Linked DNA regions of Styela clava. The protein of the gene in region 1 interacts with the protein of each later gene in a biochemical or structural test. Links are inferred from orthologs where the notes say so. Each region holds a gene or a part of one and is shown in the gene's direction. Other genes may lie near its edges.

Evidence for each region. The genes of interacting proteins can lie anywhere in the genome.
Region 2: the proteins of eukaryotic translation initiation factor 2 subunit 2-like (region 1) and eukaryotic translation initiation factor 2 subunit 1-like form a complex in vitro, tested with the Homo sapiens proteins (2 studies listed by BioGRID and IntAct). The link is inferred for Styela clava from reciprocal best matches to the Homo sapiens genes EIF2S2 and EIF2S1.

Annotation. Positions count from the first base shown.
Region 1 is NC_135262.1:17,202,215-17,209,982, reverse strand, and holds the start of eukaryotic translation initiation factor 2 subunit 2-like, read left to right. Parts: upstream 1-4,694; 5' UTR 4,695-4,846; coding exon 4,847-4,876; intron 4,877-5,224; coding exon 5,225-5,345; intron 5,346-5,701; coding exon 5,702-5,806; intron 5,807-6,730; coding exon 6,731-6,765; intron 6,766-6,990; coding exon 6,991-7,090; intron 7,091-7,173; coding exon 7,174-7,247; intron 7,248-7,768.
Region 2 is NC_135250.1:6,448,953-6,456,593, forward strand, and holds the start of eukaryotic translation initiation factor 2 subunit 1-like, read left to right. Parts: upstream 1-4,636; 5' UTR 4,637-4,683; coding exon 4,684-4,921; intron 4,922-5,227; coding exon 5,228-5,307; intron 5,308-5,743; coding exon 5,744-5,904; intron 5,905-6,404; coding exon 6,405-6,511; intron 6,512-6,630; coding exon 6,631-6,728; intron 6,729-7,392; coding exon 7,393-7,536; intron 7,537-7,641. Other genes in the region: phosphatidylinositol N-acetylglucosaminyltransferase subunit C-like, read left to right, coding at 3,292-4,185. UniProt on the Homo sapiens protein: Member of the eIF2 complex that functions in the early steps of protein synthesis by forming a ternary complex with GTP and initiator tRNA. This complex binds to a 40S ribosomal subunit, followed by mRNA binding to form a 43S pre-initiation complex (43S PIC).

The DNA of each region.
Region 1 (7,768 bases):
ACAAATCACAATATATAATGAATGCAGGAATCTTCAAGCTCGACTACTCCAAAAAAGAAATCAAATCGAGGCAGTGTGAAAAACAATTAATGAACTAATTGGTGAAAATAAAAGCAATTTCTGTCCATCTGTTGAACTCGACTGCGGTAGTACACAAATTGCAAATAAATTTAGTACTTTACCCAAGTGACACAAAGATTGCTTGACAATATGGCTCAACCAGCTAGCTATGACAAAAAAACACCTCTCATATCTTGGAAAGCAGGTATTCCCATCTATGTTATTGAGGTCAACTACATCATTGCAATCAATAGCCAACTGCATCATAATTATGCGAACTGCCAAAGTCCAACTCAAGTTTTGGAATCGATTGTACTCCATTCAAAATATTGCAGTAATATGTTCCAGAAGATATCATTGATATCAAGGCATATATACTCAACCACTCACTATCTAGTGGATTATTCATTAAAATCTTCAAAACTAAGCTCTATCACTATGGAATTAGAGGCGTCCCATTCAATTGGATCAGGACCTTCAAGACAGGAAGCAAATTGTGCAATATGACAACTCATTGTCTACAAATATTTGTGTCATGAAGCACGGAGTTCCACAAGGATCTTTACTTGGCCCATTATTTTTTCTAGCTTACATTAATGACATGTCCAGGTGTCTGAAATCCTCTGAGTCGATCATGTTTGCTGATGACACTGATTTGATTCTTCATGGGAAAAACCTTGAAGATCTATTCACAGTTGCAAACCAAGAACTAACCGACATTCATAGCTGGATGTTAGTTAATAAATTATCTCTTAATGCTAACAAAACTAAATTTGTATTATTCCATCCAAGCAAGCATAAAAGTGTGAGTTGTTCAAAAAAACTACTGCTCAATGGCAATGAAATTGAAAGAGGGAAAGAAATAAAATTTCTAGGAGTTATCTTTGATGAAAATCTGTCATGGAAATCACAAATAATGCATGTTATTCGTAAAACTAAAAGAAACCTAGCAGTTTCTGCCAAAGTATCCAAGTGTGTTGATCAATCAGCTCTACTAGCAATGTTTCAATCATTACTACTTAGCCATATTCGATATTGTTGTTCAGTCTGGCTTCATGGTAATAAAACACTTGTCTCAAAACTGCAGAGTATTTGTAATAATTTTTTAAGAATAGTTTTTGGTAAAAGAAAACGTGAAAGTGTAGACCCTTACTTCAAATCACTAAATATATTTAAGGTTGAAGATATGATGAAATTTGAAATATTATCCCTAGATTACAATTTCCTTAATAATGCGCTGCCCAATTGCTTTAACGACATACTTGTCAAAAATACCTCCAACCGAAGAAGTAGTTCTGATTTATTCGTACCTTTCATGAGTAAATCTGTGAGTCAGCATTCCTTGTCTTTTACTGGACCCAAACTTTGGAATTCTCTTCCCCTAAATTTGAAGACGTTAAAGTCCAAAAAATCTTTTCAAAAACAAGTCAAGTCTCATTTAGTTTGCAAATATTAAAATTACTAATGGCGGTATTCGATGACAAAAACTTGGGACACTCCACTCCACCCTTGCACATTATTGTTTTAATGAAAATGTTGAACAGCTATAATAATATGGTTATATCTTGCCATGACTTGGCCAGACCTAGTCCAGCATCAAAAAATGGTATTGTGACATGCATGAGTATATTTTTTTTAAATATATAGGTAGCTGTCATACCTGGATAATATTATCTTTAAATAACTGCACACATTCTATCACTTCACGCTCGTGTTTTTACCTTTTTCTAGCTGTGATGTCCTTATCATACATGCATGGTCTTATGTTTGAGTGGTGGTGTAAGGGTTGTAGATGTATAATATAGTTCCTGCAAGGTTACTAATCATTGCAACAAGGCGAGTAGTAGAGCTATGTTGGATTCTCCCCTTCAGATTTTAATTTGCGGTGGGTCATTTTAATTGGATGTGGTTTTTATATCATTTATGTATGCATGCATTTTATGTTAAGGCAGGGTATTGGTGTTTGAGTTGACATGTTGGCCAAGGTATAGATAGTAAAATTTTGTGTGTTTTTTGCATGGTGTGATAAATTTTTCTCTGTCCCAGGCAGAATGTCATCATAGATCATCTATCCATCGCTATATAATGACAATACATCCCATTTAATTAAACACTTATTTTTTGCCTGTAATAAATAGTTCAGCTTGTTCCCCTTCACCAAATCATTGAAACATCTACTCGCAGTTTTATTTTTTGTTTTTCAGGTTTCTTCAAAGTGATTAAATGAAGTAAAACACATAAGAAAAAAATCAAACAAAGACTCTGATATCCTGTGAAATAACAATCTTATTCCTATATCCTTGTCTGAAATCAATACCCAAAAATGAAAAACCTCACTTACACCCTTTGTAACCAATTTATTTCCATATCCTACTTTACTTAATTATAGTAATTTTACTGTTACCGGTAACTTTAATTACTTATTACAATCTGGACTATAATTTGGCAATAATAGGCTCTAACTTGGGGAATGAAATGGTCTCGCCCACCTCTTCATGCACCCAATTCTGGTAACTTTGATTGGGCAACTTGGCATTTGACTCCAACTATAATCAGCTTGGCAATATGTTTTCAATAGAATCTTCCTTTTATATTTTAATTAACGATTAGAAGATCGATCAATTTGGCAATGGCAACCATTACAAAATTATCCATATGTAGTGGCAAATAATTTTTTTTTTCTTTCTCTAGTATTTATTTTTATTTTTTTTGTTTACTGCCCTATAGTCTACCCTAAATTTATCGCGTTTTATTCTGACTTAAAATAACTTCTCAGTGGTTGAGTGTGTGTGCATGTCAGCGTGTGTGAAATAACTTAATCATTTTAGGTGAGTAAACACGTACCACTTCCTCTTGGCAAAACCTCCCATCTTATATTTTGTACGTTATAAACCTTATCTAAGGTTTCGTTTGCTCCCCTGATTTCATAATCAGTTTTTATTTATTTGTTTTTATCTGTCAAATGTATTGTTATGCTTATTATGGAGTCGAAATAAACTTACTATATTATTATTACATCTGAAGTTTTTCCTCTTTTTGGAGTGTTTAAAGCAGTTTTTCTTGGACTTTTGTGTGAGCGAACACGTACCACTCACTATTAAGTTTTGTTTGCTCTCCCGATTCTGTGATCAGTTTTATACATTTTGTTTTCATCATTTACATTAACCTTTTTTTAGGACGATGCTGGGGTATATATACATACCAGTACAGAAATGCCAATTTTGCTTTTTTTGTTTGTATTATTTCTGACAGACATGGGTACAACTTCGTTATACTAATAACAGAAAGATATCGAAAAACTGGGAGAGAAATTTTATTGCATTCATTTCATGTCGAGTCAATTAAATTACGCATTATCCTCCTCCATAATCTGCTCTGACATTGGAATATGAGACAGTTACTGTTAATTTAACTTTGTACAGCAGTAGATATATTTGTAAACTAAAATGTACGATGTAAAAGTGATTGACCGAATAAATTTCCATAGGTCATAACACGTCAGTTTTAGCCTATTCTGTCGCAGATTTTTCGGGACTAATTTCTAGGCTTACCATACGTCCCGGTTTTAGCATGTTTTCCGCCGTCCCGCCGAAAGACTTGAATGTGGTTTACGGTTTTGCAGTATGACAGTCATAAATAGTTTTTCTATTTGAAACTACTAAATGTTTTTAACGGAGGCATCCGATTCACCACTGATTCGCGTCTCACTTGACTAGTTCAGATATAGAGAAAAATATTTGCGTCATGGTTAGGATATGACAGTATGAACCATGCGTTAATTTAACACCCGAATGTCGTTGAATTATCAAAGTGCCGGAAACAAAGTGCAAGTTTTCTAATGAGTTGAACGATTTCAATTATTTGAAGCAAAGACTTATAGTCATAGAGGATATTTTTTAAAAGTATTTACAGCTAATTTTTAGGCCCGTAATCTACCCACAATGGTATGGAAAACGTTTAAATTAAACTATTACTATGCCCCTGGAATGAAAGGTTGGCTTGTCAAATCCGCGCCGTTTCAGTCACCGAGGTTCCTGATCCATGCTGTATATAAAAATCAGTCAGATAAAGCATTGGCGATGAAATATGGATAAAAAATAGAGATAAAATGTATATGTACGAGTCGACAATTTAATATTCTAAATTTAATAATGAAAGTGAGGCCGAAATAAAGTGTACGAGCGACTGCACAAAGTTCCATTGTTGACTTATTGCTGATTGTTCATTGGTACAAAATAAACAAGGGAATCGACGCTCGGAGAAACATCCATAGTCACCATAATTTTGAGAAAATCGCAAAGGGCAGCGTGGCAAGTGCCGTGGTCACTATCACCAAAGCCGTTATATAATGGCTCTGGTATCACTACGCCAACTGCGTTCCCTTTTCTATATGGCTGATGCAATGATTTCTTTTTTAACGGCTGAGTGAGCACCGTATTATGGATGTCATTATTGGCAATATTTCGACAACAAATATCAAGTAAAAAGTTTGTCAAAAATTGATTGATCATGAAGTAATTGAATGTACGACTGATTCAATGTAAAAATGATGCAATTTTAAGAAATTTTAATGAGATCCACCCTTCACGCAACACCGAACACCATCTGTTCTGTTATGAAAAATTGCGAAATCGTCATTCGTTGACGAGGTCTTGCTCACGTTTTAACGCAGAAATTGCAGTGGAGCTGTTTGGACCGTATGCTCTCAGTTCTTTTGTTCAGCTAACAAGTTCCTTATTTATATTAGTTTTTTTCATAAATACACGAATTGATTAATAAATCAGCAATGGCCGCGGCAGAGGACAATGACGATATGGTAAGTTTTGGCATTTCAGATTTGTCAGGTGCAACATGAAGTTACAGAGTTATGTTCTATATTCTGTGCATTGTGTTCTGAAATTTGCTTTGTACAGTTGTACCTACGGTATGTGGATACCGAGTACCGATCTTAAAATAAATTTCCCATATTTCATATTAATCAGCTATGCAGTGTGGGGCATCACTCAAAGCATACAGTCATAAGGAACTGGAATATGCTCGCCACCACATCCGTGATTACTTTCCTCTTTAAGGATAAATAGTAATATTTCATCCTTCTAACCAAAAAGCCCTGTATACTAGTTGAGTGTAACTTCGAACTTTTTTTTTGACTATTGAATCACAGAATCTTGAATTAACAAAGAAGAAGAAGAAAAAGAAGACTGCAAATTTAGATGAACTCATTGGTAATACAGAGTCGACCGAAGTACTAAAACAAGAAAATGGAGAAACTCCGGCTCCAGAAGGTATTACCACTAAGAGTATGATAAAAACTGTTAAAAGACTACCTTTGTTAATACAATTACTATTTCTAGCAAATTTTCCCCATGTGTGATTACATGATGATACGATCCGGTGACAAGATAAATAATCTTTTAATATTTTCACTCAGTTACTTTCTCAAAAATAAGATAATAAGCCACAGAATATTAGCGTGGCGGGAATATGTGATATCTGATAAAATTTGAAAATTGCTGTCCAGCTCCATTTTTGACTCAAGTTTTGAGTCATTTTTACTATGATTGCTCTTTGAATTTTTTTGGCAGGAAAAATTCTTGAGATGGAATATAGGTAGAAATTATTTTAAATGTTCTTTTTATAGTTGAAGATGAATTATCACTCACAAATCTGAAAAAAAAGAAGAAGAAAAAGAAGTTTGTCCTGGATGACGAAGATGGTGAAGGTGACAAAGATAAAAACGAAACAGGTATTGTGGGGTTATTTAGTGCAGGGGTGTGCGAACTGCGGCCCACAAAAATAGTGCGGCCTGTGGAGAAGTGCTAATTTTGAATAGTGTGCTGCCCGTGAAACAAGTTTTTTTAATTCAGTTTTATCTGTTACTTGCGACCCTTTGCATTGCAAGGCCTAGTCCAATAATTATCTATGTCTATGACGTTACAGTGCCCCAAACACAAGCTTGTGCAAAGCAAAGTTGTAAAAGGATCAACTAGATTGCGATCGGAGACCGCCGACTTATCGATCTGCGGTTTCGATTCCTTTGCTCTGACTTAATAGAGACACTGCGTGTCCTATCAGTAATTAATTAATAACTCTAATTATACGACATAATTCATCCAAAATCAATAGGCTTCTAGATATGATGTATGCACATGCAAAATTTGGAGCAGATTCAACTTCGCTTTCGTGAGATATTGCGTAACATACGAAAGTGTCTAACAGACAAATACCTATCAACATACTTACCGATCGAGATCGATAAGTGATAACCAAGTTTTTGTCATAGTGTAAACAGTGATGCACAAATTCCTTTCGCCTAAAATATTTTTGTTGGCTTTGTTTGACCTAAAAATGTAGGATATAATTTTTGCAGTGGTACTAATTTTGTGCTTTAAATTGTGTTTTAATTGACGATAAAACTGTTTTCGTGGTTTGCTCTTATTCCGAGGATGAAAAGGTGAAATAAAAATGGTGTAAATAAAAATGAATAAATTATGTTGCATCAATGTAATACTTTTGGTCCAACAGAATTAAAACAATACATTTCATTATGTGACCTGTAGAAACTTACGGTGAAAACTTTGGGTGCCTATAGGAAAAAGTTTTTTTTAATATTTTTATCATCTCTCTGCATAAATAAATCTAAAATATCTTGTTTATTCATATTTTGCAGGTGATGCTGGGGATGAGGGCACAGCTCAAGAAAAAGTAAATTATTTTAATATTTTCTTTATTGAAATTGTATTGTGAGTTACTTTATGTGTTGGTTGTTTTTATCTCATCAGTATGGTAGTTAAATTTAATGTTATTTATATAGAATGTCATTTTTATCAGTTATCTACAAAGTTTATATCTGAATACTTTTTATAGTCCACCGTTCTAAGTATTATTCCTGTTCTCAATTCTTATTGGATAATACGTTTTGTTCCATAGAAAGAAGACGGAGAAGAAGAAGAACTCGATTTAACTCATAAGAAGAAAAAGAAAAAGGGCAAAGAAGTTGCTTTCGCAGACCAAGTTGAGGAACAAAATGGTATTTGTTTTGTCAATTTTTTGTCGAAATTTGTTCTATGCATAATTTAACACATTTTCATGGGTTTCATTTGTTTATTTCAGAACAAGAAGAAATTCATGTAACTCCAGGAGAATCAACATGGGCAGGAACAGATAGAGACTATACATATGAAGAGGTTTGTTAATTCACACATTCTATATTTCCATTTTGGCGCTCCAGGAGTGTGTATAGCAATATAGATGTAACTAATTTTGTTCGCTTACTTTACATCAAGATGTGTAAGGGGACTGAATCTTATGGACAGGGGGTATATTCACTGGCTAACACAGACAGTCCCCGAACTCGTAATAGAACTAAAATAAGAAAAAATCGAATAAAATCATGGGCTAACTCTAACCTGGTATCTTCATTTTGGCCTGGTTATGTCATTGCATGTATATCGTTGGCTGAATTAGTTGGGTTTGAGTAAATACTTCTGCAGACTCGTATTTCTATTCCGAATAACGATGAGAGGGCGGCAGTTAATTTATTTAAAATGTCATGATATCTATAGTAATGTTAATAACAGATTTTTCTTCAACACCTTTATTGATATGCTAAAGTGTTATTTTATTATTATGAATATGTTAATGTAATTAACACGTGGTACACAAAATGTGGTTTCATTTGATGTTTTTGTCTGAGCCAAGTTTGTTC
Region 2 (7,641 bases), on another chromosome or scaffold:
GACTTCATTGCTTAAAAATAAATACGTTTGATACTTGATAGCTTCTATAAAATGGATGTAGCTTTTTATGCTGTTCTTGTTGTAAACTGCTTGTGGTTATTACATAAAATTTATTCTCAAATGTGAATCAGCGTTGTTGGTGTCGCTGCTTTCGAGGTCACTCCCGACTCCTGTCACACAATTAAAGTATTTTTTGTTGTTGGTTACATGTATGCCATATTTTTCGTAATCTACCTAATAAATTATGATTGACTGAGGAAGTCCGATTTTGGTCAGGCAAAACATTACAGGAATACATTTGTGTTAGTGTGCTGTAGGGCTCTCGAATTGTATAGTTCTTATGTATGCGTTGTAAACTTATGGTTATTGAATTTCCGGGAACCTCTTATATTCAATTTCGCACCAGGATTGTGGAACAAGCTGTAATGCGTTCATTATGTTCGTTTTCACACAAAACTGAAGAATTTATTTAGTTACCAGATGTGCGCTACGAAACTCATTTTCTGGGCGTTTTCATGGTTTCGTCTCGCGGCCCATATCCGTGGTAAGGATCTACAAGTGTTTAATAATTTACTTATACATTTTTCAACAACGTCTTAGCATAACTTAACTAATAATAACTAAACAGGGCTATGGAAAGCCTGCCCAACTCAGCGCAAGGTCGAGCAGAAATAACTAATATTCATCCGCTCGCTAACAGCTGGTTTAATTCAATTGTTACGTCATGCAGAAGTCATTGTTCAGTGCCGAAAATGTAGAGAATATAGGACAGATCGTAGCGCATATTTCTTGTAGTAAAAGCGTCTTTTCCGTAAAACGTGCAACTTTTGGAAGTGGGAACAAGGCAATATTTGTTACTAAATTTTTAGGGAACATTTTAAAATCATTTTCAGGTAGTTACCTGATGTGCGCTACGAAACTCACTTTCTAGGCGTTTTTCAGGGCCTCGGCTCGCGGTCTACTAGTGATATAATCACAACAAAACTACGATAACAAAATAAACGCAAGGTTTTCCCGATGAAGGGGCGCCGCGTGGGACCGTTCCCGAATTTTGTGCAGCGACGTCCAAAGTTCCAATATCTAATTTAGATTCAACAGGAATTTTTTGTTATCAGAGTACTGATATTGAACACAAAGTGCGACTTTGGACCATTTCGCTAAATATTCGATGCTGCTGTTAACACGTGCAGGAGGTGACTGGTCTTATTGAAGCGAGTGAAACCAAAACAACTGGTTAATATAAGCAGGGCCGGATCATGCCGCTTAGGAGCCCCAGGCACTTAATACTTTGGGCCCTATTTATATAAAATGATAATAATGAAAACTAGTGTTCCATGTTTTCTGAATATGTTTCAGTATTCACTACCACGGTACTAATTAAAGCTAAGTTATGATTAATCTACATGGTATTTTTTGAAAATAATTCTCTTGCCTACAAACATTTATAGAGAGGTGTAAGCTGGTACTTGAAAAAGAGAAAATAATCAAGTTATTAAACCGAGACAATATTGAGGTCTGAATCGTCTTACCAACTCGAATTACATTAAACACTGAGATAGCCAGTTCGTGAAAACTTCTGTGGTGCATCCTTTCTCGTGGTGACCTTATTTTGATCAATGTTTAGTCCAACCCTGAATATAGGTAAACAGACATAGCCGTACAGTACTTGCAAGATCTAGATACATAGGCGTAGTTAGTGGAATACTGCAAGCAACCAACAGTTGCGCGAACTACACGGAAAATATTTGATTGAGATCTACAGGTTTCAAAATGTAACCGTACTGCCGTAAATAGCTGATCACAAATAACACTTCATTATCGCTGTCGAATTCAAAATCCAATTTTTACATGTGATATGTCGATTAACAATTTATTTGAGCACATCTCTCGATCTTTGCTCAAACGTTCTCATCATACAACTTCTTGGGGACACTCAAATTTCAGACGGCATTTCGACAGCAAGAGGGGAACGCAGCATCTCGCCGCAGTATGGTTACCAGCATGTCGTGCTCGGAGTTGTTTTCTTATAGTACAACGAGTGGAAATGTCAGGTCGCATGAAAATCCATTTTTATTTCCCAACTTAGATTAGACTTTTTTAAAGGTGTTGCTGCTCGATGATACGACTGGTTTATTGCACTCCCCTGCACCACGAAACGACATTTTTAGTTTATTCTATAATCTGTAGGCGCAAATATTCAGTAAATGGTCAAATAAATTGTTTACTACTAATTATCATTTTTTTGTCGTAGGTACACAAATTTGCAAAAGAGCATTTAAGTCTATGCTTCCAAAAATAAACTAGCTAACAAGTTCCATACTCGACATGGATTGGTAACCGGACGAGAGGCCGTGGTCCGCCATATGATTGAGCCGTCTTATCGGCTCTCCTCTTCCCCAGGATAAATATGTAAATCCTATCCTTTCCAGTGATGGGGTGCCAAACAGAAAAAAAGGATGAAATCCAGAGGAAGAAGAAATTTGACGAGTCAGCGTTAACATAACCCAAATCGGGAATAGGAAGAGTTCATCAGGTAATTGATTTGAGCGTATTTGAATGGCGCGAAGCCTTAACCACTTGCGAGGGTGAGAAGTCTGGCAATCCCCTCGCGCATAATTATGACGATTGGGTTTGTAATGCGATGACAATTGTGTTTCTTTGCGGTAACCGCCAGACCCAAAAAAGTTGACGGATTTTTTTGTCAAAAGATTTGGGTGTCGCTTACGGTGTAAATAAGAAGCGATCGCCGGATCCGGATCTCGAGCATCATTCACCCCTAACATGTGTGGACTGTAGAGTTTTTGGTGTTTCGTGTTGGTGTTTGCGCCATCGCCCATCATGGTGAACCATCATAGAGCAAATTCGCTCAACTTTGTGGTTAGTCTGTGCCGCTGTATGACTAAACGAGTTCTATTTGTTTTAATCAACCGTTTTATCGCCGTTTATGCTGAGTATGGAGTTGAAATAAACTTATCTTATCGTCCACCATGTACGGTACCGGTATCTGAAACTGTAGAACAAATACCGGTACCTACCGTACCGGCTAACTAATCCATACCTACTGGTACCGGTACCGTCAGACCGTACGATACGATATTTTGTTTGTAATGGCCCGCCACTGGGCTATAAACAGATAAAAGAACAGGTTCCTCAGATAAATTTGTTCATAGATTGTCTTGTATGTGCTTATTATTACAGTACCGGTATTGAGCCATTGTTATTATAAATTTCAGTTTTAACCTATTCATAGAGTAATATTGATTTTGGCTGTTGATATAAGCGTGTTCAAGAATGACAACTAATCGCAAAAAATGGAGAAAAGTATTGTACGAAGTTCAAAATGTTCCAGACAATTATGTGGATGAGTCTTTCCTCACGGAAATGCGAAAGAACATCTACATCAGAAAATATGAATATTGGGATCTCGTTCGTCAAATTGAAGTCATTACTCAACAACTTTGTACAGTCAGCTGTTTAATCGTTAGCTGGTGGTTACTCGATGAAGGCCTATATACTCCATATACTATGTTAAAATGGCTGATGCCTGTTTCAGTAATAGGCTTCTGCGTGTATTTATATTTAACAACGAGCCAGGGTGAGAGATGGAAAGCGTTATTTAGTAATGCTAAAACAGCAGTTGTTGTATTGTGTTTAACTGATTTTTTATCTCCGATATTAAAAACGTTGACGCACACTATTAGTACTGATACGATATATGCAATGAGTGTTCTAATGATTTTAGGACATTTACTGTTTCATGACTATGGGTCTGATGCTGCGCCAATTTCTAGAGCTGTATCGTTAAATATGTCATTGTTTTCGTCAGTATGTCTTGCGTCTCGATTGGATTCTTCGGAGCATGTATTCGCTATTGTTATTTTAGCGTTATTTCTTTTTGGATTTTGGCCCATGTTACAAAGAACATTAAGGCGTGAAACTCCGTGGTTTATGGATCCCTTTACTGTTTTATTGAGTATAGCAACGTTTTTGTTACTACTTTTTATTCATTTGTATATAAGTCTCTTATTTCTACTTCTAATTGTTTTTGTTAATTTCATCTGTCCTCTATTGTTGATGTCTCTTCAAATTCATAAAAATAATATTTATGGACCTTGGGATGAAGCAGTAATTGACCCGGATAGTCCTCGGATATTTACGGAAAAGAAATCATTCAAAAAAGAATAGTTTGTCAGCTTCTTATTCTGTGATATTATAATTTTTGTTTTTTAAATATTTATTGAAATGAATTTGGTTGAAAAAGTTTCATTCAGAAAATTTTATCGATGTATAGTTTTTGATTGTACAAACTGTTTATGTATCGATTGTTCGAAAAGAAGTGTCACGTCTCTTTAATTAAGAATTGTTTCAAATGTGAAGATATGTTTATATTGTTCGGTTCATAGATTCCATTTGTATGTCTATATGCAAAAGAATTACTGTAGACATATTTGTTGTTTTTTCCAGGTTGCGTCACATAACCACTGACTTAGCTCTAGTCTGTTGAACAGACAAAAGGCCACAGTTTGCCATATGATTTGAGTCCCTGGGATAAATATGAAAAAGTGTATCATATGCTTGACTATTGGTTAATCTATATAAGAGAATTTTATTCAAGTTTTATGTTTTTAATTGTTTTTATTTGAATTGTATATTTTTATATAGTTGTTAGCAAATTAACTCAAAATGCCGATCTCGTGTCGATATTATAAGGATAAGTTTCCGGAGGTTGAAGATGTTGTCATGGTGAATGTTCGATCCATCGCAGAGATGGGAGCTTACGTTAAATTGCTTGAATACAATAACATTGAAGGAATGATATTGCTTAGTGAATTGTCGAGACGTCGTATTCGATCTATCAATAAGTTGATTCGTGTCGGTCGTGATGAATGTGTCGTTGTTATAAGAGTAGATAAAGAAAAAGGTAGGGAGTTTCGTGCGATTGTTAATAAATAAGATTCAATGAAATTTATGTATTTGCAAATTTCAATATCCGATTCAAAACGAAATAGGCGAAAATGTGTTCTTTTTGTTGTTTATCGTCTTATAGTACTGACATTTTGATTATCAACTTTTGTGTCTTATAGATAGAAAAGTTATATTTTTGAAGATCACGATTTGTCATAGTATTTAACAAAAATTGCTGGATTAGCATTATTGCAATGCTATTGTTGCCTTTTTATCTTTTGATATATTGTGATTATTTTATAATAATTTGCTACTTTTTCAGGTTACATTGATTTATCAAAAAGAAGAGTTTCACAAGAAGAAGCAAAAAAATGTGAAAATAAGTATTCAAAAGCAAAATGTGTAAGTAGTGTTTCAGTGTTAATTCTGTAGCAGGAATATTGTTATTCAATAATTTAACGCTCACTAGGATTTACTTACTACTCTTACGGCATGTTAATTAAGAGGTATACAGCGATATTTGTTGATATACTAGATGTCTAGTATTTTCATCTAGTTTAGAATTTATGTTTGGTCATGCTAGGTATAAGAAAGTATTCATATTGCGGTCTTCATTATATATTTTGAATCATCATTATATATTCCATGATCTGGTGGATTTCTGAATTTTATCGATGTCTTTTGGGAAATAAGGCATCAACTTTATTTCATATGCTTGTAAGTTGAAACTATATGTGAAACAACATTTTGACCAGAGCTAGTGCTCAACTTATCAAACTTTTTTAGTAAATTTTGAAACATGTAATGAAAGCAAAAAAATAAAAATTTTTTAATACAGGTTTACAGCATTCTTCGTCATACTGCTGAACTTCTAGGTTTTCAGACAGATGAAGATTTTGAAGATTTATTTGACCGAACAGCCTGGGCGTTGGATACAAAATATAAGAGACCAACTGAAAAATATCCTGCTTCATATGATCTATTTAAGAGAGCTATAGAGTAAATGCCAATCTTTTTGCATAATTGTACCTATGTACCTCTCTATGTGTAATTGATTTCTGTGAAATTTTGCATTTGTGCCACGAAAAGTTCGGATTATCAATCTGAATCTTATAGAGCTTGTACCTTGCTCATGAAATTTCCAATACTCCCTCTTCAAGGCCACCACGATTGTCCATATTAGAATGGTTTGATATTCTACTTTTTGTCACAAAAAGATGAAACAAAACAATTTTTTTTCTGAAAAAATAGACTTAAGTAATGATTTCGCAAATTTGCAATAGATTTGATAAAAAAAAGCAGCCATCTCATTAGTTTTAACAAAATTCTTTGATATCGATATTCCTTGGCATTTAAGTCTCAAGTATATTGTCATATATTATGCAAAAATAAATCTACATATAGACTGTTGTAATATGTCATCTGTTCCTTTTACACCTCTCAATCTGCTTTTGTTGAAGACTTTCCAAAAAAAATAAAAAATACCATCAATTTTATAGTGAACCACAAGTTCTTGATGAACTCCAATTATCAGAAGAAGAGAAATCAGTTTTGATGAAAAATATTAGGAGAAGGTTGACTCCGCAAGCAATGAAAATTCGATCAGGTATATTTTGATATCTGGTTATTGATGACCTTCCTGGCAGTTACATATTCCAAGTTTTATCTCAATTCCCTCTCCGTATTGGTCACTGAACAATCTTTGAATTTTTTTTTTTCTAACAGATGTTGAAGTATCTTGCTATACATATGAAGGAGTAGATGCAGTGAAAAATGCTCTTTTGAAAGGAATTGATTGTTCTACTGAAGAACATAAAATCAAAGTATGTATTTTTGTGTGATATATCATTCATATCTACTCTGAGCACGGCGCTTAAGTCCTAACAAGGAACCACTGTTCTTAAGAAAATTGAGAAATGATCTAATACAGTGGTTCCTTAACTGTGGGCCAAATACGGCCTGCGTAATGATTCCGCCGAACTTGAGTAACATAGTTTTCACTTGGCTTACGTAAAGATATTATAAAGGGCTCTGTTCTTCCCATGTTTCCTTCTAAATGTTTTCGATTGTCCCTCTTAACTCTTTCGATTTTAATCGGTAAGTATGTTGATAGGTATTTGTCTGTTAGATGCACGCAATATCTCACGAAATCGAGATTGAATCTGCTCAAGATTTTGCATGTGCATTCATTATATGTCGTACCATAAGCCTATTGATTTTGGATGAATTATGTCGTATAATTAGCGAGTTATTAATTAATTAGTGATGGGACACAAGGTGTCACTATGGAGTAAGAGCGCTGTTTTGGGGGATCCCCTAACTTTCGATCGATAAGTCTTCGGTCTCTGACCGATATTCTCGTTTCGATATTGATGACTTGCACTATCTAACATAGTTAAATATTAGTTTTGAAATAAGGTTCTGTATTTATGTATATAATAGTTAGATTGCAGAAACATTTTTCAAAGAAAGAATTTTATATTCCAGATCAATTTGATTGCTCCACCTGTCTATGTGCTGACAACCCAATCTTTGGATCGACAAGTAGGTTTGAATGCATTGCAAGATTGCTTGAATGAGATTGAAAAAACTATAAAAGAATCGGGTGGCAATTTCAAAGTTAAAATGGAGGTAAGTTGTGTTAACTTTTCTTTCTCTAATTGGACAAAAAACGAGCCTTGATTCATTTCTCTGATGTGTTGTTTTTCTTGTTGGGATTTCAGTACCTTAGTACTG